Linked DNA regions of Drosophila melanogaster. The protein of the gene in region 4 purifies or fractionates together with the protein of the main gene of each other region. This does not show direct contact. Each region holds a gene or a part of one and is shown on either strand. Other genes may lie near its edges.

Region 1 (9,875 bases), on a different chromosome or scaffold from region 4:
AGCTTATCAGTGACTTTCGTTTGATGACGATTTCTTATCTTATCAACATCGATTTCCTCTGCAATAATACCTCATAATGCAAGGTATAAAAGAAGATAGGAAATTCTGCACAGTTATTCGACCATAGACAATCTATTTAAGATTTGTACAATTAAAGTTCTTATGTCTAAAAAAATAATCATTAAATCTAATGAAACACGATTGCAGCGATGACTTCTTAGTCTTTTTTGGCTATCAAGCCCTGCTTTTTGAGTTGGCGCAATGCGCATTTGGCCGCCGTGCACTTGGCAATGCGATAGTTGCGTCCGATGCCACGGAAGGTTCCTTTGCAGAAGACATCCACGGTAACGCGCACCCGTCGCCCATCCGCCAGCTTCTCGGGCTTGCCGAACTTGGCGGTTTCCGGCTCCAGCTCGAGGAGCTCCCGAATGGGCGATTTTGGCACTGAGTTGCTGAACTGCTCGATCTCCGGGCTCATCATGTTGCTATATACGTGCCAAACCACGTCCAGCGACATGTTTGAGTCGAGAAAAATGGCACCTGCGATCGACTCGAAAACGTCGCCCAATGCCTTGGGCACCTCAACGTCCTCGGCGTCATCGCACTCCTCCTCGGACAATAAGTAGTACTGAAAGCAAGAAAGAATATTACAATTAGTTGTCGTATTATTGGTGACTTTCCTTTAACACACCTCCTCACTGATGCAGTGTCCATTCTCCTGCTGGATCCGCACAAAACGGTCAATCACATCGTTAAGGCCCGGCGAGAGGTGCCGGAAGAACTTGTGGAAGCCATGGCGAACAGCCAGGGAGGCGAATATTGTATTATTCACCAGTGCTGACCGCAAATCCGTTAATGCGCCTGGAGAATGCTGGCGGGGATCTTCGTATAAATGCCGCGTAATGAGGTAATCTAGAACAGCATCGCCCAGGAACTCCAGACGCTGATAGCAATCCGTCAATCGATTGGGCGTGTAACTGGCATGTGTCATGGCTTGCAACAGGTACGACCGATCCCGGAACTTGTATCCCAAACTCTCCTCAAACTCCTCAAAGCCGCTTAGTAACTGGTCCAGCTCCTCCGTAGCATTTGGAGCAAAGTGCAGCAGTGGACTACGCGGCGTGGGCCATGCACCGTAAACGGTGACCACATTTTCGGCATTCGGTTTTGTGCTACCGGGTATTCGTTGCTCCTGGTTACCCCCGTCCAACTGCCTTGTGATAGGGAGCACTCTCACGCCCAGCCAGGCCATAAAGAGTAAAGCCCCTCGGGGTCCGCACTCAATGAGATAGGCTCCAATGAGGGCTTCGACGCAATCGGCAATAGACTTATCCGGAATGCTGTGTTGCGAAACAAGGTTGTAGGGAATAAAACAGCTAAAATCATTGCAGCTATCATTGGAGTCGTCAAGTTGTCCATTTTGGGCACCCCCATTCTGCTCCAAGCCCAGGGCATCGGCTTTTTCGCGAACCATCTCGCAGATTTGCACACTGCTTAGGTTCTTAATGTCTAGCAGATCGGCCAGCTTCCAATGGTGAGTGGGGATCTTCGCCTCGATGAGCGCCTTCTCTAGCTCCTTTGGCACGTAGTAGCAGGGTGGCAGCCAATTGTCGTGCGGCTCGAATTTAGTGGCTATCATATATTCACCCAGTCTCTTACGTCTGCCCAGACGATAGAGATTGAGATTGGCAACCTGCTTGGAGCGCAGGTGACTTAGTTTTCCCTCGTGCACATTCTCGTAGGTGATGTACAAGTAGGTGGTAATGGCATACTTTAGAAAGGAATCTCCAATTGTCTCCAGTCGCTCCAGATTGATGCCATCGTTAGCATTGGACATTGTGAGGGCTTGCAAAATGATGCTGGGACTGGGTCCTGGATGGCCCACTAGATCCGGTTGTCGATCGAAACTGAAGCCAGCTGGTAATATGGCTGAGGTTATGGCCTTCGTGGAAGTAGGTGGCTCAATTTCAATTCGTTCGTATTGCAGTTTCAGTTGCTTTTCATCCAAGTTCAGCCGATGATGATCGTTATAGTTGTCAAAACTATCTCCGCATCCCATTACATTGTAGGTCTCCTGCTCATGTCGCGCTACCCAATCTGCATTTAGCTCTACCAAATCCGACAGCAGAAGCTCGCGCCTATCACCCAGCTTTTTGGCCAGCACATCTTCATTTACATACGGCAGCAGCTGCTTCAATAGCTCCATCATCGATACCTTTGCAACCTGAGCCTCAGCGGCATCACTTCTTTTTAGAACCAACTGCTGGTCGTGCGGCACCAACATGCCGCCGGATTCTATTTCCGTTTTGAGCTTAGCTATGGATTCTTCATATCTTATAGTGGCAGGTTCCTTCTGGTCCTCATGCTTAAAATTGAATCCAATGAGCAGGTTCTTTGTCTGCTGATACTGCCGCTCGTTAGCATTGGTCGCCTGGATGATGGACAGCTGCTTCTGGCGCTTTTCCACTTCCTGTGCGGTTTCAATAGTCTCCGCTTCATTCTTGGAGGTGAACGCAATGCGTCCCGCATCGATATCATCTGCCACATCGTCGTCATCCGAACTGTAGTTGTGATGCATGTAATTGAGCGGACCTGCGTTATCGTCGTCATCGTAGCTGGAACCCAGCGAATTGTCCGAGTCATAATAGTTAAATGTGGGCTTTGCCGGACCCTTTGCTTTGCCCTTGCCACCCTGCTTATTCTGACTGCTCTTTGGACCCTTGAAGCCGCTTTCGCCATTGCTCACATCCCAAAATGTGGGCGAACCGTAGCGCGTTTGCTGATCACCTGTAAGATGTATTAGGGATTATTTCTGATCCTTAGCAAGGGATTTAAATAACTTACAGAACTTAACGTTTGCCGGTAAAACTGGGAGATGGAAGGCGTCATCCTCGTCGTCGTCTTCTTGGTTAAAACTAGCTATATCGTCGGCCATATCGTTTGACCAAGTGCCTATCTCAATGAAGTCATCAGCCTCTTGCAGCTTCTCCTCTCCCTCAATGATTAGTTCAATAGCACTTTTCTCAACCTTATCGTCTTTTGAATCCTTATCTAGTTGGGTCTCCTCGCTAGTCGGTTTCTTTTCAACATCAGCTAAGTCTTTGCCATTAATAGTATCATCCTTAAGGGACTCCTTTTGTTTGGACTCCCGCGATTTCTTGAGCACCTCCGATAGACTCCACCCAAAGTCCAGCATGGGCCACTCGAAATCCTCATCTTCGATCTGTTGCCTTCCCAGCCCCAGATCCGCAGAAACCTGTTTCCGAATATCGTCGGCCAATAGAAGACCATTTATGCGGTACAGGATGCAGGGCAGGCACACGGCAGTTCGCCACAAGGAGGCGGGGAATGGATGCACAGTGCAGAGCTCTGGCACAAGGATCTGCTTCTGTTCGAGATTCTCGCGCTTTGCCCGCTTTGTCTCCTCCGAACTAGTGGGCAGAGCAACGCCCTTGCGATTAACGTATCGTGGCGTGAGGAAGTTTAACCGCGCACTGGTGTGATCCACGTCCAATAGCGGCTGCGAGGTATTCTGTATGGTCAGACCATACTTGACGAGGTAGTAGTGCTTGAACGTGCGGTAGTTGTCACCAGGGAAGCAGCTGAGTGGGGATAGATGTGGACATATCTCCGCCACATAGAAATACTGCGGTTGATCCTGGTTGCGATACCACGGCATAACGACGGCATCCTGGAAGCGTTGCGGATCAAACGGCTGCGCCTGGCGCTCCTCATCGGGCACTGCCCGTGGCATTGTATTTCCATTCGCTTGGATCAGCTCCAGAAACTGCCAGTCGATGTGCTTGCCGCCAGCTGGTGCCTTCACGGTGGGCACAATGAATACACAATTTTCCGTGGAGTCCGGATCGAAGAGCATCAGAAACTTTTGCAAACGCAGTACATTGGTGAACGTGTAGTTTAAAAATCCGTTGATGCAGACTATTTGTTCGCTAGTTAGAATCACGCGTTCCTTAGCTAACTCCAGGGAAACCTTCACCTCACCGGAACGCGTGAATATCGAGAAAGCACTCAGCTTGGGTATCCGTTTGGTGGTTAGAATGCCGAATCCCTGCTGCGCATCTTCGGGCGGATAAATCTTGCGTCCCCGCGTGTTTTGCTCTTCGGGAATCGGACATTGGAGCGTCAGTTGGATAAAGTACAAATAGCATGGCGCTCCGGCAACGGGACGGCAATCGCAAAATTCGGATGCAATGCGTTTGTAATAGTACTGACGACGCTTCGTTGTTCCCGGACGTGGTTCATCGCTTAGCTGCACAATCTGTTCGTCCTCTGGCTCCAGTTCAAAGCACTCCCAGTCCGGCTCCAGGGCACGAAATCCCTCCTTGCCGATAGGCTGCAACTGATCGTCTAACTCACCGATCCTGTGCAGTTCCACGCAAGCCTGCAAGGCAGCCAGTCGGCGGGCCAATGTTTGAGTTGGCATCGGAAGACCCTAAAGAAGAGTATTTAACAAATCTTAAATAATTCGTATTACAAGTACTTACCACAATGTCATGCTTCAATGGCGAGTTGATGGGCAGACGGAGTGTGTACTGAAACAGGGTCACTCCAGCCCTTTCGTTTCGGGTGCAGCGCCACAACGCCGTCAACTTGGTGAACGTGTCGCTTGGCAGTCGGGCGCAGTACTTGTTGACCAAAGCTATAGCAGAACCCAGATCCACGGAGGCGCCTGTTAGCAGGTGCGGCTTGGGTCGGTATGCGGCCAGGCAGGCACTAAAACGTTCCGCCTCACTCTGCTCCTGCTCCGGCGGCTCTGTGTTGGCGCACTTGGATAGCAGCATCTGCTCGATTTCGCGATACTGTGCCATTTGATGCACCAAGTCCTTCGTGGTGCTGGCTAAACTATGAGCAGTATCGATTTCGGCTGTAGTATCACTTGTGTCTTCTGGCTCCGTTAAAGAGCTCAGCTCGCACTGGAAGCGTCTGGATTTTTGTTCTGTACTGCTCTCGCTTGGAGACGTGTTACTCATGCTGACGGCTTCGTCGCTGGAGTTGCTCGTATCCAGCTGCGCTGCGGCTGGCAATTCGTCCTGGATCTCCTGCAGCTTAATGTCGCACGCTGTCGGTGGTTGTTTACTGAACACTTCGGGGTTGAGGATCTTCACGGTTCCGCGTGCCGTGCCAAAAGTATAGGGATCCGAGCCGGACGAGTTTGGCATCGCTGAATCATCAGAGTCGCTGTCCGCCTCTGTAGTATCACCAGTCGCGCAAATATACCGATGACTCCGATCGGTCAGCTGCACTGACCCCACAGTTGGGCTTTTATAACTCGGAGCGACGAGAATGACATGATAGGCTGGAGCAGCACGGGCTCGACCTTTGCACTGAACGTAACTGCGATATGTGGTTGGCGGATCCCAGCGCACAACCAAATTGCACTTGGGCACATCGATGCCCTCTTCCAGCACCGAAGTACCGATCAGGACATTGCAGTCATGCATGCGGAAGCGCTTTAGCACCTCTTCCTGCCGCCGGTGCTCCAACTCAGCCTCTTTGGGCTCCGTGGTGGGATCTGCCACCCGGTCCGTGGTGTACTGGCAGCGTAGGAACTTGAGATCGGGATCACGTCTGCTAATCTCCGCTAGAAGCTCAAAGAGCACGCGAGCCGTGTGGTTCTGGTTGCAGTAAATCAGTGCGCAGAGCGTGTCGCTGCCATCATTGTGATCCCGGTGGTGGCGCCTGGTGTACACACGTCTACGAGTTCGTGGTTGTGCAGTGTTGGCACCAGAGCTAGGTTTCGGCTTCGCATGAGCGGGAGTAGGAGTAGGAGTCACCCGAGCGGCGCTTCTGTTCGTCTGCCTGTCCTCTGTCGTGTGCAGAATCTGCTCAAGAGTGGCCACCAGGGCTCGTGTCTCCGTCGGCGGTTGGTCCATTTGATCCACCATTCGGCACTTGCTTTCCAGCGTATGAGATAACCGATTGAAGTCCGCCTGATCCACCTGATGCCGCATTCTGCGCAGTCCGTCCGCTTGGGTGTGCACCTCTTCCGGCTTGAAGCACCTCAGTGTCTGCAACAGACGTCGCACCTTGGGGCTGGAATAGCGTTCGATGGTCTGGCGTGAATCGCTGCCACTTCCTAAATGTCGATGGAATGCGTGTTCGCAGAGGGAGTACAGTTGGATAAGGGCCGTGCTCACTAGGCAGTACAGCAAGTAGTGACGTTCGTGCGGCGTCTTCACCTTTAACTTCTCATTGCATTGGTAAAAGTGATGTGCAGCCCGCTGCGTGCACCAAGGACCCATCTCGTGCAGCACGACCAGTAGTGAGTTGATGACGTTCAGGGGGTCCACCTTGGGATCGGGTATGTCTTTCAGTTCGTCCATAAACTGGTCTGTGCCGTAGATTTCGTAGGGATCGTAGCGGTGGTCCAATAAAAAGGACTTGTGTGTGTTGAGCACATCGGCAAGCACCAGGGACAGTTCGTCCATCTCGAAGGGGGCGCACTGTACGATGTATTCGTGCGGTCGGGAACAGTAACGCAACACGGTGACAATATCACTGGCCGTCTCGATCTGGCAAAGCACACTCTGCTCCAGGGTGGCCAGCATGGCGCTCAGTTGCTGCAGCTCACATCCGGCGCTGTGCAGCGGTCCAGCGAGTCCGAGAATCCGTGGCCTGTCCGCCGGTGGCGCTGGCATAATGTGATTCTCGAACAGAGGCCTTATCCTCTGATAAACGGCGCTGTCATGACAATCTTCCAGCACGATCAGTTCGACGCTGCTCAGCAGCAGCTCGCGAGTTTCGAGCAGATAAAGAAATCCCTCTGGCCGTAGGATGGAAACGTGATAGTCCGTCCAGCAATGATCAAAGGGAATTTGCATATCCGGCTGCTCCTGCCACACCCGCAGGTCAGTCAAGTGGGTGAGCATCGTGTAGATGGAGCATGGTTCCGTGCTGGTGCCAACCTCGCAACTGAGATAGACACTGACACGACCATGTCGGCGTGCTCGACGCGACAGCTCCTGGAGCAGCTTGAGGGCTATAAACTCCTTGGAACTTCGATGGCCCAGGCAAATAATCGTGTTCCGCTCGTAGGCGGTGGCCAGTAGCTCCACCTGAAAGTCGCGCGGCGTGAACACGGTGGTGTGCAGATTGTTGTCGCACCAGTGGAACGCCATCGTGGCTGAGGGGATTCACAAAAACACCACTGCCTCTGCGAGATTTCTATCAGAAAATCATCCAGAGCCGGCTACCAGCAGAATGCCAGTGTGACCAGGGTTCGGAATACCTTTCGAGGTTCACTTCATTGGCCACACTTACAAGTGGCTTGAAAATAGATTGCGCCTTGTATATTTATATTTTGTTGATAGCAAAAGTTTTTAAATTAACTTATGTATTTACGGTGAACTATACCCGGTAATCCTCTTCTTTAGCACCATAAAGCGGCGTTCCAAAGCTCCTTCCATGCGCCGCGCTGCAAAGCGAGAGAGCGAAGCGGCGCCTCCCAAAGAGGAACCACAGTCACCCTGCTCCTGGCCCAAAAACAATCTACCCAGCGAATGGGGCACCTCAGGGGGCACCCAAAGCCTGGGACCTCGAGAATTCAGGGCGGGCGAGAATCCCCTCAAAGATAGCCGCATCTTCCATGTGCTCTGGCGTAATCAGACCACCAAAAAGCACAAAACGTGGACTGGCAACGGAACGCTGGTGGTCACGGGATCCATAGTAACATTGAAGGATGACACCGGCAAGGTTGTGGACACCATGACATACTTTAAGCAGCGGCAACTTCAGGAGAACGATCAGCTGGAAGTAGGCAGCAAGGATGTCGAGATTCAGGAGGAGATTAAAACCGTCGAGGAGTGCCTTATTCAGCGCCAGTTGGAAATAGCCAACTGGTGCCAAAAAATAGATGCCCAGAATGGTTGTACAGACACATCGCCACCACCTGCTGACAGTGCACCCGTTAGGTCTCATCTGCTCAAGAAGATCAAGCGCGAGGCAGATGCCTTTGCTCCACCGCATTTGGAAATTAGCCAACATAGAGAAGATAAACATGTCTCCTATGCAGCCGCCGATTCCAGCACTTCGATGGGAAAGAAAATCTATGAACAAAACACTTTGAAGATAGAAAACCCTACCAAGGAGTTCACCCAATCGGAATATCTGTGTCTATTAACTCCAGCTGAACTGCAGAAAAAAATATTACTCTTTGTTTCTGAATATGCACAAACATCTAAAACAGTAAGATAGATTTAGACCAATTTACATGCATAAACAAATCAAAAAACTTGTATTTCAGGAATCGTCTACGTTGAAGGAAATCTTCCAAATTGTATGTGATCATCCTGTGCTCCTAAAAACTTTGGGTACGAATCCAGTGTTTAAGGAAATAATGGAGGTACTGGACGCCATACTGCCGCCTTGGCCAAGCATGGGACTTTACGACTCCGCCAAGTTCGAGTTTCTACACGTAATGCTGGATCACTTAGTGGCGGAGCGAGGCGAGAAGTGCTGCATCTTGGCAAACAGTGAGGATTGCCTCACCCTGGTCAGGGGATACTGTCAGAGTTATAGTTTGGACCATGCGCAGCTAGATGGTCCCCAAAAAGTGAACTTATTTAATTCTCTTGCCGATGGAGAACCAATGATTGGCTTGATTTTGACCAGTGACTTGTCGGCGCTTCGAGCTCTTCGCTGCAAACACCTAATTATTTATAATCACAATTCCAGGCAGCAAGCCAACCAACTGCTGGCCGTTGGAGCAATGGATACCAAAATATATACTCTCATCACAGCCGGAGGTTCTCCGGAGGAGTTGCAGTTCTATGGGCATATGGGTGATGATTCTATAGAAGATCTTCAGAATTGCCGCAGCCAGCTTATACCGACCGCATCTAATGTGAGTACTTCGAATTCTTATCATATTAATAAATCACCTATTGCATTGATAACCTATAGAATCTAGCGGACTGGACCAAAAGTGAGCCACCTTTTGACCGTGTTTTCTTTGAGGTGAGATTTGTATTACATTTTACTAACTTAAATTGCGTAAATCAATGTGACCTTACAGGAAACTGCTATATCGGATAGTCTGGATTGTATTCAACTGGTTTATTCAAGAAAAGTGAGAGTAAAAACTTAAACAAACAAAACGTTAACTTCAAGAATATAAATGTAAACAAAATTATTTTGTTGAACTAAATGCTTAGCAGTTGAGTTAACCTGGAAGATTTGTGCTTTTTTTTGGCCATAATTAGTTCTGAACTATTTCGCGGAATCAACCTTTTGAGAACTTAGTCCAAACTTAAGAACTCCTGCAGTTTTTCAATGCGAGTGGAGTAGCTATTTGTTTCCTCGTCGAAAGTGATTTCGCTGCAGGTGATAACGGACCCAATGGGATAATTTTTATCCAGCCATTTGATCTGCTCATCGGTGGGCTTCTCAGGCACTCCTACGAAAATCGAGTCATATAAATAATATAATTATCTTTGGAGAGCCTAATTACCAATTAAATCCAACTGTGTGGTCATTATAGGGAAGATAAACTGCGGCGGATAGGGACGTATGTCGGTGACATGTGTTGGCACTATGTTTCCGTAGTCAATGAACAAAATGCTGGGATAACCATCTCCTACTAACTCCACAGAGAGACCTCGACGCCATTTGCCTTCGTACTTAGCTATGCAAAGCTCATTTATCCTAAATGAAAGAGCGCTTTAGTTAAATGGACAAAAGAAAACGGCGAGTAACTTTACGGCGGTGCGTAGGTTGCGCACTTGGCAATCTTTTCACCATACTCCTGTATGTCTCGCTGCATTTTGGTGACTTCGTAAGCCAGATCTATGGAGGTGCAGTAGATAAAGCCGCACTGGATGAATGTGTTGTCCATTACCACTACATTTATGTTCTTT
Region 2 (7,519 bases), 4.0 Mb from region 4:
CAGAAGCTGCGTAAAACTGCAGGCTCTGTTTTGATTTCTGCAACTTCAGTTAATTGCCCGGGATGGCCAGCAATTGCCGGCAATTATAAAACAGCGCAGATGTGACTCAGCTTCCATATCTAACTCTATATCTCATGCCGAAAATCTAGGGTGGGGAGCGGAGGGGCGGGGTGCGTGGGTGACTTGCCTGCCAGGGAAAGGGGGCGGGGGTTCAGCGGGTGATAAATGTGCGTGATTTGGAATGAATGCGCATCGATTAAAACCGCAGGGCAATCAATTTAGCGCCTTTTACGCCAAATTGGCTCGTACACAACCAATTAATGTCAGCGGGTGAACTGACACCATCGCCCACCACCGCATCCCCCTTTCCCCTGTTGGCCATCCACCCCCGAAAAACAATTACAACAACGAAGACAAGCAGAGGGACTGCTGCAGATTCCGCTCAATAAACCTCCAATAAAGCGAATCCAGCGTGAGGCGTCGACGTCTAATTGCTGTTAACTCGTCAACTAGGAGAACGCTCCATCCTCGCCGTTGTGCGGCTCCTTGGACGCCTGATTAAACGGATTGGAGATGCGAGGTGTACAGTCGAGCCTCCGTAAGGGCAACCAAAAGTAAAAAACATCGACTATTTGAAATACAAAGTTTTATATGTACATATAATTTATCAGGCTCCGGATGTAACTTAATTAAAACATTTCCTTTTCATAAAATATTGCTAGCTGATAGCTGCTCAAAAGAACAATAAAGGTAATAAATTATGTTTGCTTGCAAACAATTTTCAATCAAAAAAGTATGCGTTCCATCTTAGTTAATAATTAATTACCTGGATAAAGACTTTTGAAACATATCATAGCGTTTCTTTGCATATTCAATACTAACCAATTTTTTATAAATGGAGTTACACCGTTTGTCGTCTTGTCAAGTAGTATCTTCACAATAAGTATAATACAGAATCAAGATAGTAAAATAAAACAAAAAATCGTGTGAATAAATCAGAGCTAAAGACGTCGGACTGTACAGCAGAGTTTGGTGGAAAAGAGAGAAAAGCGAGGAGAGCGCTGTTTGCATCATACACCGCAATGAATGAGTGCCCCATAATTGTGACTTTGGGTCTGAGGCGGTTCCGCTGCCCTGCCCCCCGCTCTTCGCTGCTTCCTGCGCCGCGGAAGGCGACGGCCATCTTTATCAGCCACCCCGACTCCCCACTCCTCTTCATCGTCACCCTCATCGTCACAAAAACTGGTTTCCGCTCGCCACTTTCTTTTGCTCTCTGCGCAGGCGCTCTTCGAAGACAAGAGACTTGCAGGCGATTGGTTGAATTCGTTCTGCGTTTCTATGGAGTTTGCTCCCATTCTTTTGGGGGCAGCGACCACGCCCAATGACGCTGCTCTCCTCTCTGCCGACGTCGCTGTCACTCTCTTAAGTACTAAAAAATAAAACTGAAAGTAAAGCTAAATAAAACGCTGCCATAATTGGCATCGTTAATGCCAAAACCATGAATACTAAAAAGTTTTTACGAGCATAAGCTGCGATTGAGCAGTTATTGTAGGGACAGGTTGATGGCCGAGTGTTCTAGGGAAATGAATGAATGAAGATTTTTTCTTACTACCAAAACTTCTACAACTAAGTGAAATAGACGGATTGAGTTCTACATACTTCCTACATATATTTTAGATATAGACATAGCCGAAAAGTATGCTGCACTTTTTCAATAAAAACGTAAGCAGCTACGTTATCACGCATGGCTTCATAGCAGCGATCATCTGCCAGCGAGCATAGCCAAGTTAGGCACCTGCACACATTGCCACTCTTTCCTTTAGCGTTGCCACTTCAATTTCTTTTACAAACCATCGCAGCGTGTAATCGATATTTTCTAAGCCCAATCGATGAATGTCCGGTAACGCACATCACCAATCTGTTTCTGCTGCCTCATCTTTGAATTTGACTAAAAGTGCCGATTTCCAGCTCAACGAATAGTCCAAGTCGCGCCGAATTGTACAATTAAGTTAAAAAGTTCAACGTCAACTAGTTTATCATGGCAGATTCCAAGGGGTAAGTGAACTGGACGCCGAAATAGGCGCCGACTGTGTCGGTCCAAGTCGAAATTCACAAATTTCGCTCAGTCATTGAGCCGAAAAAAATACGCAAGGGCCACATCGCAGACATACTATTATTTAATTGTGAAAGGCTTTCGCCGATTTCCGCGAGACAAAGACATTTACCGCGACTTTTCCACTGCTCGGTTGCAAAATGTTGCGAAACTAGGGCAAACCTAAAAACCGAAGAAAAAAAAACGCCAGCGAGAATCGCCATTTGCAGTACGTTGTTGTTGTTGTTGGTGTTACTGCCCTTGCAGTTGTTGTTGCCGCTTGAAAACTTACGATTTCCCTTTGTTGTCCCAAAAATACAAGTCATCCTTTGCTGGAGGATACAATTTTCCGGTTGTTGTAGTTATAACTTTGGATACGAAAAACAATACTGCATACATATATGGCAGCTATTTCTATAATAAATCGCGAAAATCCTAAACTATATGCCGAAACCACTTATTTCAATGCTACCTATTAGTAATACCTTTTTTGATATTGCATTAATTCTAGAAAAGTCTTTGTGCTCCCTCAACTCGCCAGAAGTAAAAAAAAACATATCGTTTAAGTAACAATAAATGCATAATTTACCTCAAAGTTTAGAAATTATTATAACAAATGGCGCCAAAAAAGTTGGCATCGAATACAAGAAATACAAACATACTTTTATAACTAAAGACAATAAACAATTGTACTATTATTCCGATTAATATAGATTTTTATGAACGATATAGGGTGATAACCTTTTATGTTCAAAAATCTATCAATAAAGATTGATCGACATCATCACGTTAGCAACGAAAAATGATTCGGCAGGCCTAATTATCCAGATGCTTAGTTCCATTCCGTATTACTAGTGAAAGTAGTTTCCATAAATTTATCAAAACTAACAAAAAAGGCAATCCAAAAAAACAAAAAAAAAAACAAAAAAAACAATGTCTGGCGGCAAGAACGATAAGATGGATCATGATGGGGATACGAGGGACTTTATGCGGGGATATCACAGCGAGCAGGATGAGAAAATGAAGCCGAAAGACTCGTTCGATAAGCGGTTAGGCCAAATTATATATAAGACATAAGATATTTCTTTAGCGACGAGTCTTACGCGATGCTTTTTTCTTCTACCCTACAGTGAAGATCTGGCTACGGCGATCCTGAAGCGCAAGGACCGTCCCAACCGACTGATTGTGGAAGAGGCGCAGAATGACGACAACTCTGTGGTGTCGCTATCGCAGGTAAGATTCACTCTCCCAAAGGCCACGTCATCGCATGGCTAATTCACATGACTTGGCTGTTCTTTTTCCCCCTTAAACTATATCAGGCGAAGATGGATGAGCTGCAGCTCTTCCGTGGCGACACCGTGATTCTGAAGGGCAAGCGCCGAAAGGAGACGGTGTGCATCGTGCTCTCGGACGACACCTGTCCCGACGAGAAGATCCGCATGAACCGCGTGGTGCGCAACAACCTGTGCGTCCATCTTTCAGATGTGGTTTCCGTGCAGTCCTGCCCGGACGTCAAGTACGGCAAACGGGTGCGCATCCTGCCCATCGACGAAAGCACCGAAGGCGTTACCGGCAACCTGTTCGAGATCTATCTGAAGCCGTACTTCCTAGAGGCCTATCGGCCAATCCACATGGGCGACAACTTTATTGTGCGCGCCGCCATGCGTCCTATTGAGTTCAAGGTGGTGCTGACCGACCCGGAGCCCTACTGCATCGTAGCTCCCGAGACGGTAATCTTCTGCGACGGTGATCCAATTAAGCGCGAGGAGGAGGAGGAGTCCCTAAACGCCGTTGGCTACGATGATATCGGTGGTTGCCGCAAGCAGCTGGCCCAGATCAAGGAGATGGTTGAGTTGCCTTTGCGGCATCCATCGCTCTTCAAGGCCATTGGTGTGAAGCCACCGCGTGGTATTCTTATGTACGGTCCCCCGGGTACCGGTAAGACCCTGATTGCCAGGGCTGTGGCCAACGAGACCGGAGCCTTTTTCTTCCTGATTAACGGACCGGAGATCATGTCCAAACTGGCCGGAGAGTCGGAATCGAATCTGCGCAAGGCCTTCGAGGAAGCCGAGAAAAACTCGCCGGCTATCATCTTCATCGATGAGATCGACGCTATTGCCCCCAAGCGTGACAAGACCCACGGTGAGGTGGAGCGTCGCATTGTGTCGCAGCTTTTGACCCTGATGGATGGCATGAAGAAGAGCTCCCATCTGATCGTTATGGCTGCTACCAACAGGCCCAACTCCATTGACCCGGCCCTGCGTCGCTTTGGACGTTTTGATCGTGAGATTGACATCGGCATTCCAGATGCCACTGGACGGCTGGAGGTGCTGCGCATTCACACCAAGAACATGAAGCTGCATGATGATGTTGACCTGGAGCAGATTGCTGCCGAATCCCACGGACATGTGGGCGCTGATCTGGCTTCACTCTGCTCTGAGGCTGCCCTTCAGCAAATCCGTGAGAAGATGGACCTCATCGATTTGGAAGACGATAAGATCGATGCCGAGGTGCTGGCGTCGCTGGCCGTGACAATGGAGAACTTCCGCTACGCTATGACCAAGTCCAGTCCATCGGCGCTGCGTGAAACTGTTGTTGAGGTGCCCAACACCACCTGGACAGACATCGGAGGTCTGGAGAGCGTCAAGAAGGAATTGCAGGAGCTGGTGCAATACCCAGTGGAGCATCCGGACAAGTTCTTGAAGTTTGGCATGCAGCCCAGTCGCGGTGTCCTTTTCTACGGACCCCCTGGTTGCGGTAAGACGCTGCTGGCCAAGGCCATTGCCAACGAGTGCCAGGCGAACTTCATCTCAGTCAAGGGTCCCGAACTGCTGACCATGTGGTTCGGCGAGTCTGAGGCCAACGTGCGCGACATCTTCGATAAGGCCCGCTCGGCGGCTCCTTGTGTGCTCTTCTTCGACGAGCTGGACTCGATCGCCAAAGCCCGTGGCGGTAATGTCGGCGATGCTGGCGGCGCCGCTGATCGTGTGATCAATCAGATCCTTACCGAAATGGATGGCATGGGAGCCAAGAAGAATGTGTTCATCATCGGAGCCACCAATCGCCCGGACATTATCGATCCGGCCATCCTCCGTCCGGGCCGTCTGGATCAGTTGATCTATATTCCGCTGCCCGACGACAAATCGCGTGAGGCTATCCTGAAGGCTAACTTGCGCAAGTCGCCGCTGGCCAAGGAAGTAGACCTTACCTACATCGCCAAGGTGACGCAGGGCTTCTCTGGCGCCGATCTGACCGAGATCTGCCAGCGGGCTTGCAAGCTGGCCATCCGACAGGCCATCGAGGCTGAAATTCGTCGCGAGAAGGAGCGCGCCGAAAATCAGAACTCCGCGATGGACGTAAGTCATTTAGCTTAGCGCAAAAAATAAGAATGTTTATGTTTGACTATTTACCCATATAATCAGATGGACGAGGACGATCCAGTGCCGGAGATTACTAGCGCCCACTTCGAGGAGGCCATGAAGTTCGCTCGCCGTTCGGTGTCCGATAATGACATCAGGAAGTACGAGATGTTTGCCCAGACTTTGCAGCAGTCCCGTGGATTCGGACAGAACTTCAGGTGAGAATTGAAAGGCATTTCTTGTTGGAATCCAGGTTACTGATGATAGTGTATATGTTATTGCAGATTCCCCGGTCAAACCGGCAACACCTCAGGATCTGGTAACAACTTGCCAGTTAACTCGCCCGGCGACAACGGCGACGATGATCTTTACAGTTAGATTTCTAGTTTTACACCGCAAAACAAAACCACAAAATGGAACTTTTTAAATGAATTTTTTCCGTAAAACCGAGCAAGCAAAACCAATCACATTCGCATCCTGGACGCGGTAACTTACTACAGCAACCATTGGCTAAGACATCCAGCCGATGGCGAAATCAGATGACATACCCGATTCAATATTCACTTCTTTGATACCATCCTTACTCTTGGTCGCGGATACGTGCAGTAGGAGAAGGTTCCCATTTGGATTTGGGCTCGCCTAATCCGAAACCATTTTAATTGGCGAACTATTCCGCGCCTCACACTAATCATTCGTGCATTGTCGGTAGAGTGGCTCCGATATATGAGTTTCTATAAACATAATTATTAACGATACACATACACACATACATTTAAAGATAAATACATATATTAAACACCGTAAAATTATAAGTGTATTTGGAGCTACATTTTTAAGTGAATAAAAATTATAAATTCAACAAAATCATGTGCTTTAAATTGAAGAAATATTGAAAAATAGACGCAACGAGGTAATTGGGTGTTGAGATTAAAGAGCAAGAGTTACATAATCAATTATTTATTTTTGATAAGGTTCACTAGCAAAGTGGAACGTTGCTTTATTTTAACTGATCATTGGCCACAGTGCAATAAAATGCGTAATAAATTAAATTGGTCGGTACTCGTATGAGTGCAGTGAAAAAATATGTCTTCGTGCCTCGATTTCTGCAAGTCCAATTTAGTCATCAAGAGTACTAACCAAATCCATACTGTTCCCATTTGAAAATATCATTTCATTTGTTTTATCGCATTTATTAAACTTGTATTAATTCGTCATGTTTGCTTTTTCTGGTTTTCAATTGTTTTTTCACTTTTATTTTTATTAATTCTTTGCGACATAACAAGGACATCTTAATATGAAGTTAGTTGAATTCTTTCATATTTAAATAATCATTATCGCTTCGGTCTTATAAATAAACTTTCTTTGCCATTCTTTTAACCGCTCGTTAATTAAATCAATGTTTTGGCATCGGTAAATGATAATAAGGGAAATAATATTAATAATAATGTTAATGGCAAAAGCAGGAAACTTTGAATTTGATTGGCTTTTTAATGCGTTATTGCAGCTTCTTCGGCGCTTAATTTAAATGAAATGTGTGCTTCCTTTTCTCTCAGTGTCTACACCTTCAATTCTGCAAATATGCTTTTGTTTTGTTTAGTAATACATACTCTTTATTTGTTTTTCTTTTCTTTTCGTTTGTATTTGTTTTTCTCTTATATTTTTGTTACACATACATAATTAATACGCTTTATGCATAATTACAACACAACAGTTAAAATACGAATAGGCTTTACTATTTTTGTATTTAATGAACTCTTTCATCTGTGACTTTAATTTGAAGTTTGCGCATTTAGAGCTTGTCATCGGTGATTTCAACGATTTTTTAAATATTCTTTTATTTTTTTGAGCTTTGCTTGATGACAGTATTCAACATGGCTTGTGTGTGTGCGTGTGTGTTGTTGTATTGGGTGGAGTGTGTGTGCGTGTTGTGGTTGTTGGTTTGTGGAAGAAAATGGCCAGCACTTTCTGCACCTTAATTAATTTCTATAACTTTAATCGCTTGATATAATTGTTATTATTTATGTTTTTCTCGAACTCATCTCCTCGCGTTCTTTTTGTTTCGAAAATT
Region 3 (6,720 bases), on a different chromosome or scaffold from region 4:
ATTAACAACGGCGTGCCAGTGAATGCCAGTGATGGCACCACTGTGATAAATGCAGCAGGTGTGGCTGCTGCCCCGGGAGCAGTTCCAGCGGCCCCAGTTCCCTCTTCCAACACCACCCAAGATGCCCAACAGCCAGCCGTACCCATGGCACCAATGCCCTTTAATCCAGAGACCTCTAACATGACCGCGCCGGACCCAGCTGCTCCCCCACCGCCTGGAGGCATTATTTGTGTGCCCACCAAGGTAAACGAAACGGATCCGGCTGACAGCACCAAGATGATAGAGGTGGAGAAGATTGCCTGCTACCCGGCACCCCCGCCACCAGCTGCTTCCGCCGGCGAGGGTCCAGCACCACTGGCGCCCATGGCCGCTGATCAACCAGGATCGCAGCAGGTGCAGCAAGTGCAGCAGGCACAGGATGTCGCCGCTCCAATCCAGGCATCCGTTCGCTCCCACACCGGCGGAGCTCGGGCCTTGGAAGGATTGACCATGCGGACCCTTCTGCTCGTGCTTATGAGCGGAGTGGTGGCCAAGCGGCTCGCTGGCTTTTAGAGACCATGCTTCTGGAACGTTCCACTGTGCACCCACTCAATTACCCGACTACCTACTGTACCTTCCTCCCCAGCTGTTGTGGCCTTGGCGCGCATATTTGCGCTGACCAACATCGATAATTCCAGGCGCTAATTGGACAAAAACTCTTGAATTATGCCGTACCATCTCCGACTACAGTATTTGTGGATAAACAAGCTGGCTTCCCAGTCAAAAAGCCCCCTTTTCCAATTTGGCCTTCAATTGTGATTGTTGCGGTGTGCATGGGCCCCGTAACCGTAACCGGGCCCGGACCCATCCCAGTGTGCTCGAAATCAAAGCAAACGCTCGAATATCTCTGCAACTACATACATACATATATATATATATATATACATTTATATAGCCCTATGTGCAAACCCAACTCAAAAGCCTTCTGAAGAAAGACAACCTGAATGTAAGTTCCCACTAAAAGTGTGTATTTTTCTAGACTTGTTAGCGTAATTGTTGCTTGTTTTTGTATTGCTGTGAGCAAACGTATTTGTTGCACTCTTCAATTGTTGAATAAAATAAAAGCTTTCGCCTACACCTACAACACCCGCCACGTATGAGTTTCATTTCACATGGCCGGTGCCCACGATGCACACGCCTAAACGAAATGGGAAGCTGACTAGTTAATGGTCCGCTTGCATAACGATGAGCACACCAGTGGTCCGGACTATTCTAGACCCCCTGCTTTCGTAACCACAGACGGACTAACGTACTGCGATTTGCAGCTAGTTAAATCTGTAAACTCTCGGATGCCCTGAAAGTAGACAGCTGACAAGAGCACCCCCCATACATCTTAATTATTCGATTGGATGCAATCCAACTGACTGGCTTTATATAAATCTACTTTCCGTCTTTCTAAGTTTCAAGTAGTGTTCATTATGTGGATGACCAGATAATATAAACAATTAAATTATGCACATAGTATTCAATAGTATTCATCACTCTTTCAACAAAGAGCACCAACCGATCACGGAAAAAAGCGAGACGGGGATATCGGATTTGTTGGATTGGATAAATGTCTAAATATATAAAGTACATGCCCACAACCAAATGTCTTTGAAGGCAAATCGTTTTCAATGATTATAGCCGCATCTTCTCAAGCGAAATAAATTGAATAGGTCTTTTCTCCCAGATAGATTTGTACTAACAATAAAAATGACTTGGGGGTCGTAAGGTTCACACACAATTGTTTTATTGAGGCTAGCCCGAAGTTTTCTTTTTTTCATGAGTTCACATCTTTCTGTTAGCTTATAAAAACACGCCGCTTGAGGGCGTGAAATGTATAATAAAAACCAATGTAAACCTAGTGATTCCACTGAAGGGATCAGCTACATCTTTACTCGGCATCGTCGTCCTCATCGTCGTTGGAGCTGATTCTGAAGTAGCGCAGCTCGTACGAGTCCTTTTCGTTGGCCACCACACGGATCCAGTCGCGCAGACTGTTCTTCTTCAGGTACTTCTTGGTCAAGTACTTGAGGTATGCCTTGGAAAAGTGAACGTCGGAGCTGACAATGAGCTTCAGCTTGGAGCGCTCGAAGGTGACGTTGTTGCCCAGGTTGTTCACCTTGCCGTTGACCTTAAGGCGGGCCTTGATGTACTTCTCCTGCGGGCGGAATAGAGAGGGTATTCCGGGTTAGTTCAGCTTGGACTGGGCTGGATCTTTGGGGCAGCTCCTGCTAGCGGTAAGCTGGGCTAAATGTCTCTTTCTTTGTTAAGGCTAAGAGTCGAGTGGGTAGAACAGAGAGCCCAAATAAAGAAGAGTGACCAATTTTTTGCTCTGCCACTGAGTACACTGCCATCAGAGCGACGCATAAAGCTCACTCTCTGACGGCAAATCGGCGTGGCCTGTAAAATAGATTTATCTAGGTGATAGATGACCAATGAAGGGGCCATGGAACCAATAGGTGCGGTACTTTTCGGACGGCGTGCCAGTAAAGGAAACTTCTTAAGGGGGTTTCCAGTCAAATGACTCAGTCGCATGCATGCGACTATGTACCTTTCCCCCAGTGGTTCCATTCCCCGTTTGTGAATGCAGCATAAGATTGTAGTTACCTGATCCCGTGACGTAGGCGACACTTGAACTATTCAGCGCCCTGCTGAGAAGCGCGTTTAGCGCACTCGGTTTGCCCACTAGCGGGTACTTAGTCAGTTGGCTTATCACTTGGCATATGGAAGAAGCACCTAATTCTAACTTCTACAAGTTGGGAAAACCTGCAGTGCCACGGAAGAGCGGGCACTGTGAGCAGGGCGCACTATGAATTTTGGCCTGAGGCGCCACGGATGTGGTCGCACTCAACCCAGGGCCCACCACGTGGCGGTACACATAGCACGGCTTGACGCTGTTCACAGACGGTTGCACCACTGGCCAGTGCCAGGTCACTGGCGGTCAGTGGCTACCCCGTTGTGCAGTGCCCAGAGCCCCTTGACTACAAGCGCGATTGGAAGGCGCTGGGAAGAAACGCGTGTGCCCGCATGAGGCAGCGAAAGATTCGACTTGGTTTAAAACGGAACGGACACCTACCTACCCTTCCTATGACTATCATCTACATTTAGCGTTGTTCCAGAAGTTGTTAACCGCCGGCGGCACGGGAAAGTCCGCTGGCAGTTTATCGCAAAATGGAGTGAACTCACTATAACCACAACTTTTTATCCAGAGCCCCTGGTTAACTTGGAGGGCAGTGGAAAGCTTGGTGCGGTAAGACTATACAGATTTCGATCTGGTTAATGCTTTCAAATGTTTTGGGAGAACAATTTATAGTTATAGACGGCACACTACTACTTTTACCATAGACAGTGAAAGATACTAATGGGCAATACATCCCCCATAACATCTTGAAAGCAACGACAGATTGTAACCAGTGCTTGGTACTGAGCGGTGAGATTTGTGATCATCTGTGTACCCCATGTACTTACGAAGTCGGCCACATCCATGATGCTATCCTCAGCAATGTTGGTGCAGTCGATAGTGAAGCGCAGCGAGACCTTCTTCTTCTTCTGTCCCTTGCCACGCAGCACGTTCTTCTTGACCACCTTGCTGGGAGCTGGGGCAGCCTTTGCCTTCGGCTTAGGCGCGGGCTTGGCGACAGCAGGAGCAGCTGCAGCCGGAGCGGGAGCAGCAGCAGCCGGGGCTGCGGCCTTGGCGGGAGCAGCCTTCTTTGCTGGGGGAGCGGCAGCAGGCGTGGAGGCAGCCTTCTTGGCCGGAGCAGCCTTGGCGGGAGCCGGAGCAGCAGCAGCCTTGGCGTCCTTCTTGGGAGCAGCGGCAGCGGGAGCCTTCTTTCCGGCATCCTTGGAAGCGGCGGCGGGCTTGGCAGCTGCGGGCTTGGCTGCCGCGGGCTTGGCAGCAGCGGCGGCTGCCTTTACATCCTTGGCCGCCTCGGACGCCTTCTTCACGTTCTTGGCCGCGGCGGCGGCGGGCTTGGCGGCCTCAGCCTTCGGCTTCTCCACCTTGCCCTTGGCGGCGGCGGCTGCGGGAGCGGCCTTCTTCTCCGCTGGCTTAGCGGCAGCGGTCTTGGTATCACCCTTGTTGGTCTTGGCCTGCTCACCGAAAAAAAAAGCAAAAAAAATCACACGCACATTCGACAAATGGAATATTTCGCTGCTGGCCACCGACTAGGGCTTTCCGCTGCAGAGTTACACAACTTGGAGCTCCCGGGCGCCGGTGGCCAGTCGCGAAACTCATATTTCGGAGCACTTACGGTAGGAGCCATCTTGTCAGTCGAAAACCACGAGGAAAAAGAACAGAAGGCGGAAGCGACGGCAAGAAGAAGAGACGGTTGGTGTGGCCGCAGCGCGCCAACGCCGTATTCCGATAAGCCACGCTGCAATTGCATCCCTGGGTTGGGAACTCCGCTATCCCGCAACCGTGTTCCAATCCAATGCGCAGTTATGTTCCCAGCGTTCAGCAAAAAAATGAATACTCTGCTTAAAAAAATGATGTTTTCTTACTATTCAGACAGCCTTTCGTACAGCGAATATTAAAACCTATGGTCAATATGCGAACAAGGCCTTGCTATGCCGCAACAACGCTAACGTCCCTCGAATTGCGCTTGAAAGTAAAAGCCATCATAAAGAAACTTCCAGACATAAAGTCCTATAATTACCAACACCCCGAACGTGCCACGAGATTGGCCCGCCCCTGTGACCATATATCATAAAACTATGGCGAGGAGCAAGACGAGAAGAAGCAGCGAAAAAGCAAAAACGATGAAGAGAAGACAAAGAGGATGATGAGGAGAAGAAGCCGCGGGACGTGCATTTAATTTTTAGCTGGAACCCTGATCACAGCGCCATTTGCGCGGCATAAAATCACAATTGCGGAGTTCGACATTGCATTGTTCTCAGTGCAGATCTGCTTTTCAACCGCCCCGCGGTTGCCCCCACAAATTGGCGATAATGAGCATTCTGCCGAAAAGGAAACCGATTGATTGCCTCCTGCGCCCGCTCCACGTGTTGCCCCTTTCCCTTCCCTCTTCCACTTCCAATCTCGATCCGGTTCCTCCGCCACGCCCCGTTTTCGGCTAGCAGCTTCGCATAATTTCCAGTATTCTATTTCTATTTCTATTTCTATTTCCAGTAATCATGAATTCCCCACTTCGTACTAACAATTCATTTTGATCCTTGTGGCGCCCTGGGGATTGCGTGCATTCAAGTCATACTTTTCGCTGCCGCTTCTGTTTCCGACCCGTGTTTGCCGCTTTTTAACTGCCCAGATTGGCTGGGCACCAGAGTCCTGATCTCTGTGCGCACTTCACTCCGTTGTCGCAGATGGAGTCTTCTTACCTGGCCCATCCCGATGGGCCAGAAGGCCTTATCACACGGACCCGTCCGTCGCTCGCTTATCATTTAATGAACGCCCAGCTTCTATTCCCAATCCCCGTTCTTATCTCGAGTAAAAGAAGGTCCACTCTCGGCAATAGTTTCGACACTGGGAGAAAGTGCAGATTGTATCTTCGGTCTCCTACCTGAACGCGGGCAACATGTTGCAAGGGAATTCCAAAGGCCTAGACAACCGAAAGTATTTTTCACAGTGATCCCAACCGCACCTTCGACTGCAGCGCAGTGTCTATATATGCAGCGCCAATCGTGAATCCATCTACTAATTAATTGACTCTTTGTGTTCGTCTTATTTCGCCTGTAAGCGCTCACTTGCCCATGCTGCCTCCATCTCCATTTGAGTGGACGTCTGAGCCAGATATCCGCTTCCAGCTAGATAGCCAGTCATCCGAGCCAGGCGCGCATCTCATCTCTGGCGGCGCTTTCGTTTCATTAAAAGCCCGTTTCAATTTTCTGCATTTTAGTGCCTGATGCACTTTGGCATATCGAGGGAATGCTCTTCGTTTTTTGCCATTTTTACTGTGTTTCTGGCCGCCTCCTTCGGCTTTTGACTTTGGGACCGGCTTTGTGGTCTAACAACATATATTTGCACTTTGTCCGTCCCATGTGCTCTGCTTCTCGTCTGCGGCTCCTCTGCCTGCCCATCCTCGCTCGCTCTGCAGTCTTCAGTGGCCATGCCCGAAGTTTAACCCATGGGAACTCAAGCATACAATGCGAAATATTATGTCGAATAAATGAACTAATGAAATACGATTCTTCCGCGATCTTAAGGATTGCCTTCCTTCACCTTGGGTTTGGTCAGTTGCACGATAGTGCGTACGGCATGGGTTAATGTGGGGAGCGAGTGTGCAGATAATTTTGACATTTATCCCTTATCTGCGGTTCGCTTCGGTTGAAAATGGAAATTCTGAGGAACCCCTTGCGTTCGCATGCGGATTTGTATCTCTGTGAGGTCGCTAAATTAGCACCTAGACGGGCCGCAGAAAATCGCAGGGGGAAGTGCCTATTGAGCTCCCCCAAAGCCCTTCATTTCTTGGCGGGCAACTTTATTAGCACCCGGCGCGGCTCACATCTTCGCCGACACTGCGCGGGACTATCTCCCCCTCCTTCCGCCAAGATATGGCAAATTATATCTTAAGCGCCCTCCGCCGCGAACAGTTTGTTGTAGGCCAAGCCCTCGCAGAGGTCGGATCGAGGGCTTTGTCACTGTGTCGTGCCACCTTTTAGATTATTTTAAATCTCCAATTTTGGGGTTTTTGTTGTGCGGGCTCCTTCCTATAGAGGCTGAACCTCCCATGGCTAAATTCA
Region 4 (6,629 bases):
GCGCAAAGCAAAAGGGGCAATAAAAACGGGCATAGACGAAGATGCCGACTGTTGATTATTGTGGAGTGCAATTAAAGTGTAAATAAGTCGCCACACAGACATGACGCAATTAGATTCAACAAGTCAATACGAAGCAATTAATCGGCATTAATGCAGGGCAGGTATATTTGCGTTCTCAACTCGAAAATAACTAAAAAGACTACATATATTGCTTACCACTCGGAATTGCGTCGCAAGGAATGCAGTAAATTCACTGATTTATCACTGTTGTTGCACTCTTTTTAATTGGCTGAAACAACACTAATGTGCAAGTCAACCGATTGTATTTAACAAGTCGCTCTTGATGATCCAGTCCCAAAGACCTTTCGTTGTTTAATGAAAACCAGCAGAAATTGTTTAAACAAGAAATCTCCGACAGAGTGACCAGTCCGAATCTTCTGGAAATACCAGAAGTTGCCTGAGCAGACGGCTTATCGATAACAGCGTGGGCAGTGATGCAGTTCTTGTGTGTAAAACGGCCAAATTCAGTCGCTAAATCGAAATAATTGGTCAGCCTAAATATATGCAAGAGCTTTTTAGTTTATGTTTATTTAATAATGAGTGTTAAATAACTAAAAACTATACCTCTCTTGTTACTTTTGCAATCGAAAGATTTCTAAGTCACTCAACGAACTCAATTTAAATTATACAACAAATGTCTAAACTGAATTTTGTTCAACAGTGTTTTGAAATACTAAATGTTAGAATTCACCCGTTGATGGTAACACTGCTGAGGTAAGAAGAAGACAAATTTTGCTCGTCATTGGGAATTGACGATTCACTGAATTTTTGATAAACTCAACAAAGTAAACGCATTATATATCCCGTAAGTAGTGCAGCGACTACTAATAACCCCAAACCGATCACGGCACCATAAAACACTTTCGAGTTATGCGCCAAAGAAAGTCGTAATTACAATACGTTCTTCATCCAATCTTCGCCAGCTCTCAAGAAGCACCCGCATCATGTTTGGAAGACAAAGTGGACTGGGTAGTTCCAGCAACAGCAGCAACCTGGTGGAGTTCCGCGCAGGTCGCATGAACATGGTGGGCAAGATGGTGCATCCGGATCCGCGCAAGGGCCTGGTCTACATGACCCAGAGTGACGATGGCCTGATGCACTTCTGCTGGAAGGATCGCACCTCCGGCAAGGTGGAGGACGATCTCATCGTCTTCCCCGATGACTTCGAGTACAAGCGCGTCGATCAGTGCAAGACGGGCCGTGTCTATGTGCTTAAGTTCAAGTCATCGACACGCCGCATGTTCTTCTGGATGCAGGAGCCCAAGACGGACAAGGACGACGAGCAGTGCCGCCGCATCAACGAGCTGCTGAACAACCCTCCATCCGCCCACCAGCGCGGCGGCGGCGGCAGCAACGACGGCGACCTCCAGTACATGCTCAACAACATGTCGCAGCAGCAGCTGATGCAGCTCTTCGGCGGCGTTGGCCAGATGGGTGGTCTCAGCTCGCTGCTGGGCCAAATGAAGTGAGCATTTAAACCCTTGCAGCCATAGTGTCCAAGAACTAGTCAAGTAGATAGCTTCTTAACTTACAGGGTATCGTTTTTATTGTTTATAAGCATGTAATCGAAGGAATGAAGCCAGAACTTGAGTTCACCCCCTTTTTCAATATTTTCCTTTCTATATTCTCCGCAGCTCCCGGACGCCCTCGTCGCGCAACACCTCCTCATCGGGTGGCGGTGGGGCATCGGCCTTGCAGACGCCCGAAAACGTCAGTGTGCCGCGCACTCCGAGCGCTCCATCGAAATCGGGCAGCAGCCGCAGCAGCAGCAATGTGAACTCGCAGGTCGGCGAAGGTGCCGGCTCCTCCGTTGATGCGGATGCCCCCGGTAAGAACTCAACCACATCGACCACAACGGCGTCAAAATCGACCGGAGCCTATGCCAATCCATTCCAAGCCTACTTATCCAATCTCTCCCCCGAACATGGCGCAGGACGATCCCTGAATATTGACCTATCGACGGCCCTACCCGGCGCCGATGCCATCAATCAGATAATTGCCGATCCGGAGCATGTCAAGACGCTGATCGTGCACCTGCCCGAGTCGGAGGATGTGGACGATGATCGCAAGCAGCAGATCAAGGACAATATCACCTCCCCGCAGTTCCAGCAGGCTCTGGCCCAGTTCTCCAGTGCCCTGCAATCGGCCCAGCTGGGACCTGTGATCAAGCAATTCGAGTTGTCCAACGAAGCAGTGGCCGCCGCCTTCTCTGGCAATCTAGAGGATTTTGTGCGTGCTCTGGAGAAGAGTCTGCCCCCCGGTGCCACCATGGGTGGCAAACCCTCCGCCAGCGAGAAGAAGGCCAGCGATCCCGAAACCCCAACTTCAGTGGCCCGCGATGAGAACACAGATCCCGCTACCGAAAAACAGGAGGAGAAGCAAAAGTAGCTTACGTGTGCGGCTTGGTAGTCATTGATATGGAATCCGAAAGCAAATTTTTTCATGTGCTGAGTGATTTTTGGATGCTAAATAAATTCAAATGGGAGTTAATCGGTAGTTATCTATCTAATTGTGTGTTTGATATACATCAAAACGGCTTATTAATTTATATTTAAAATATTACTACTTTAATAAAAGGATACGCGTTTTGGTAAGTACTCGTCCAGCTCTTTTCAGAATGCATCATTATACTCATTATACTTGGGTTTTTGGCTTACCTAATTTAATTTAAAAAAACAAAGTCTAACGTGTACAATTTATTTTAAATTTTGAAGTTAATAATGGGGGGATATATGGAAGTAACGGTAATATTAATCCCGACAAGGTCATTTTGTTGGTGTCCCCCTAACAAAAGCTCGCTGCCCCGCTCTCTCATCGCAACACACTGGTCGTCCCTTTCTGGCGCGAATTGCGCGCTCTCTCAGCGAGAGCCGTCTCACACAGATATATACACACACAGGCACACGCAACAATATTTATTTTATTCAATTCCAAAACGGCCAGCAAATAAGTTGTGTTTGTGCAAAACTCGCGCGTTCGCAATTTTCCGAAGCTGACTCTCAATTCTCATACATAACGATCTCAAGCGATCTCCGCCAGGCGAATCAAACCCGGATATATCCAGATCTGCAGTAATTGCCATATTTTTTCGCCAATTTTTGCGTTGCGGGCTGGATGTTTTTGTATCTGTTGTTGTTGGTGCTTTCATTTTGCAGCAATCTCTGTGCCTGTGTGTGTTTGTGTGTTGGTGCTTTTGGCGGACGTGAGAAGGTGTGTGTGTCTAGTGGCAGCCTGTATGTTTTTTTTTTGCATGACTGCTTCGCGGAGCTGTGGGGAAAGCTTTTCCCTCCAAAGTAGTTGTCATAAAAAAGTTAAAAGCCGCGGCAAAAACAAAAATCAAAGCAAACACAGAAAGCGCGAAGAGAGAGGGCAGTGAGACAGAGAGAGAGAGAGTCGAGTGCCTAACGCACACCGACAACCTTTGACTCACACGCACACACACGCGCGCTGTTAAACAGGCCTGGAAGCTTGCAAAAAATAAAACTAAATAAAATAGGAGCTGCTTAAGAGTGTGTGTTGTCAAATAGCAAAGTAAACAAAAAGCTCCCCGGACTCGCAATTTCATGCATATCTCCGGCGCAACGATCTGGCAACACTAACAACAACAGCAGCCGCACAAACTGCGTTTTAACCAATTCCATTTCCATTTCCTGCACTTATCTTTCTCGTTTCTTCCAATTAGCGCTGGAAAAGTAACGTCCGCAACGGTTTAAATCCAGTCGAGACGCAAACCCCACTCAACTCCTTAATGAGTTCCCCTCCATTAAACGGAATTCACCAAAAAAAACGATTGATTTGCCGCTGATAAAGCTGATAAAAGCGCACACACACACCAAAGTCAGCTGCAATTTTGCGATAAGGTAAGTACAAAATTATGAATCTTTCAATTTGCCGGCAAATGGAGGCTTCCAGAACAGCTGCAGGAGCTGCAAGTAAAATGGAAGTGCCCCAAAATAAAAAAAAAAAAAAAACAAAAATACAGGAAACCAAAACACTAATGGCGCCTGAGCATATGCTTTGGGAAATTTTCAAGAGCGCCAAGCGTGTGAGCGCGGGGGTGCGAGAGGGACGACCGTACAGACAGTGTTTATGTTTTGGTAGAAAGGTCACATCCTTAGCTTCCAATAGAACTTTCGTTCGTTAATATCCCCGCCATCCACGTCCCTCGCGAATTACGTCACGAATCGACGAAGAAGTTCGTGTCGACAGGTTTACATGCTCTTGAACTTTTAACAAACTAATAATACCCTTTTATACAGTTATTGCGATAGGATTATATGATCCAATCCTAAACCGATTAAAATCTTATCAAAACATTGGGGAGTTAAAATTTATATGAGTTACTAACTTATAACAAAAACCAGTAATTTAAAACCAATTTGTAAGGACTTATGCTATAATTAAACAAAGCTTTTTAACGTTTCTAGCGACATATTAAAAAAAGGTTTTATAAGTATAAAAAACTTATCGGTTTCAAAAACTTAAATTTGCTATGTTATTAATGCGCAAGCTCCAATTTGCAATCTTATGATCGAAGCTATAATACCTCGTTCGCAACTTCAAAATTTAAAAGTGGGTGGTGAAAGTTTTTACGACGTGACTCCTTCAAAACGGCTGGCGAACAGGCGGGGAGAAAGCTTGCAGCCTGACATTGAACTTGGGGGCACTCTGAACAGAATTCTATTAATCACAGGGTGCCGCAGCTTTTTGGGGCAACTTTCACCAACCATTTTTGCAGCTGCCACACTCCAACAGATTGTTGCCAGTTGCAGCCATCGATTTCGTCGCAAATACGTACATATTCACACATTTAGAGCGCGCCATTTCAAAACTTTAGCTCAAAGCTTGAACTGCACAGTGCACTTTCTTCCTTGCTCCCCCATTAGAATAAGACTTCAATTCATCTCAACAGCTGTCTTGGCAACAGAGAAGCTTTCTCCACTGCCTGTTGCATCCTTGTTGTCATTACAAGAATGCAGATGATCATTCACTTGGAGCAGTAACAAATTAATGCCACAATTCATGAACAAGTCTGTAGTGGTCCACCCCAGCCACGTCCACCGTCCACTTTGCATGGCCCATTTGGTCGACTTCCTGCGGTCCAATTACCATTGGCTCCTCCCGCCCCATTGTGATTATAAGCTTTGGGACGGCAGGCGGCTCTCCGATCCGCTGACATCAGCAAGCGCAGCAAACAGCAGCCGCTGCAGCAGCAGCAGGAGCAGATGATTTTCCGGTTTGCCAGGGACCGAAAAACTGGTTTCGAATGGCGAAAAAAAAATGAAACAAACGACAGGCTGACCGAATCGAATCGAGCGCTGCCCTTTTGCACAGTCGGGCCAAAAAGACAATACAGTGCGGAGTGTTTGTTACATGTTAGAGCGTATATATATTTTGAAAAGTACGTGTGCGGAATTGAACAATACAATTGGCTTAGAAATCGACGGGCTTGATGGTGATGAACCGGGAGAGAATGAAGGCCACCAGAATGGTGGCGCACACGAAACAGAAGGCGAACATGTAGAAGCTCTCCTCGGTGAAGATGTCGGAGAATGCGGGTATATCCTGGTAGATCTTCTCGATCACCGCCAGTGTTCCTTTGTGCTTCCTCACCATCCTGATGGTTACTTCTTCTTGGTTGCCTTCTTTCCGCCGCCGGCGCCTCCTGCTAGTTTCTGTTTCTCCGCCTTGGTCAGGACCTTGTTGGTGATCTCCTCGCGCGGTGCCAAGCTGGACACGTGCTTGTTGCACAGCTGCAGCAGCTCTAGTGTGTTTAGGTTATCGCTGTTGAAGCGGATCTCCTTGACTTGGGCTTGTTCTGTGAATGATATAATATCAATAAGTGTTTGCTCTTTGAATGTTGCAGTTTCAAAAGGGTTAACTTAGTTGCCCACGCTAAAAGGAAACCAATTTTTCAATACATATTTCATATGTATTTTGGTTCCTTTTAGTTAGATATTTCAGCTGTCCCAGTTTAGGTATTCTTACCTTGCGCTGAATCAATCAGGGCAAACTTGATGTTGGCCGGCTGGCGATCGCAGACGATTTCTGGCTTGACCACGCACTTGGGATTCGTAGCTGCCACTTTGGGTGTGGAGAGCAGGAAGAGGAATTCCCTGAAATTAGAATTGAAATAGATATCTAGATTATTGATTTATCATCACGATTTACTTGATTTTTCAGGAGCAGCGACGCCGCCTCAAACTGACGCCGACACCGACTAAAATGTCCACGGAGCGTGAGCTGGCTCCCGGTGGGCCAGCTCAGCTCCATCCGCACACGCTGCCGCTGACTTTTCCGGATCTCCAGATGACCTCCACCGTGGGCATCATTGGGAAAGTCTACGGTGAGTGTGGCACGCATTTATTTCATTCCCCAACCCCATCACCTTTTTAGCCCTCGAAGGATCGGTTTTTCTGGTGTGAATACTTCACTGCACCCTTTTTGGTTTTTCTCAGTTTCTTCTTAGTATGATTTTCTTTTTCCTTTCGGTTTCGTGAAAATTCTATCCAATTTGAGTGGTGAATAGGGGGTGTAGTGCGCATGTCCCGCTATCGATATCGGTGAAA

Evidence for each region.
Region 1: the proteins of AGO1 (region 4) and Dcr-1 purify together in Drosophila melanogaster (affinity purification with western blotting; 5 studies listed by BioGRID, with this or other methods). This does not show direct contact.
Region 2: the proteins of AGO1 (region 4) and TER94 purify together in Drosophila melanogaster (affinity purification with western blotting; 2 studies listed by BioGRID). This does not show direct contact.
Region 3: the proteins of AGO1 (region 4) and RpL22 purify together in Drosophila melanogaster (affinity purification with western blotting; 2 studies listed by BioGRID). This does not show direct contact.

Annotation. Positions count from the first base shown.
Region 1 is NT_033777.3:22,733,892-22,743,766, forward strand, and holds Dcr-1 (Dicer-1), read right to left. Parts: upstream 7,201-9,875; 5' UTR 7,140-7,200; coding exon 4,506-7,139; intron 4,454-4,505; coding exon 2,845-4,453; intron 2,788-2,844; coding exon 692-2,787; intron 629-691; coding exon 218-628; 3' UTR 116-217; downstream 1-115. Other genes in the region: CG6985 (uncharacterized protein), read left to right, coding at 7,426-8,205, 8,264-8,863, 8,923-8,976, 9,035-9,106; vret (vreteno), read right to left, coding at 9,258-9,415, 9,470-9,663, 9,720-9,875. UniProt on the Drosophila melanogaster protein: Endoribonuclease which functions in microRNA- (miRNA) gene silencing and, independently of its ribonuclease III activity, also acts in the short interfering RNA- (siRNA) gene silencing pathway.
Region 2 is NT_033778.4:9,987,249-9,994,767, forward strand, and holds TER94 (transitional endoplasmic reticulum 94), read left to right. Parts: upstream 1-2,954; 5' UTR 2,955-3,049; coding exon 3,050-3,141; intron 3,142-3,222; coding exon 3,223-3,325; intron 3,326-3,411; coding exon 3,412-5,448; intron 5,449-5,514; coding exon 5,515-5,669; intron 5,670-5,735; coding exon 5,736-5,829; 3' UTR 5,830-6,311; downstream 6,312-7,519.
Region 3 is NC_004354.4:760,810-767,529, forward strand, and holds RpL22 (ribosomal protein L22), read right to left. Parts: upstream 4,322-6,720; 5' UTR 4,287-4,321; coding exon 4,275-4,286; intron 4,114-4,274; coding exon 3,493-4,113; intron 3,278-3,492; exon of another isoform or gene 3,133-3,277; intron 3,002-3,132; exon of another isoform or gene 2,632-3,001; intron 2,426-2,631; exon of another isoform or gene 2,274-2,425; intron 2,183-2,273; coding exon 1,916-2,182; 3' UTR 1,751-1,915; downstream 1-1,750. Other genes in the region: CG5273 (uncharacterized protein), read left to right, coding at 1-552.
Region 4 is NT_033778.4:13,954,464-13,961,092, reverse strand, and holds the start of AGO1 (Argonaute-1), read left to right. Parts: upstream 1-3,003; 5' UTR 3,004-3,131; intron 3,132-3,742; 5' UTR 3,743-3,920; intron 3,921-5,412; exon of another isoform or gene 5,413-5,493; coding exon of another isoform or gene 5,494-5,676; exon of another isoform or gene 5,677-5,684; coding exon of another isoform or gene 5,685-5,878; intron 5,879-6,048; coding exon of another isoform or gene 6,049-6,176; intron 6,177-6,231; exon of another isoform or gene 6,232-6,243; 5' UTR 6,244-6,285; coding exon 6,286-6,406; exon of another isoform or gene 6,407-6,595; intron 6,596-6,629. Other genes in the region: Rpn13 (regulatory particle non-ATPase 13), read left to right, coding at 1,005-1,525, 1,695-2,448; CG33155 (uncharacterized protein), read right to left, coding at 5,494-5,676; mRpL53 (mitochondrial ribosomal protein L53), read right to left, coding at 5,685-5,878, 6,049-6,176.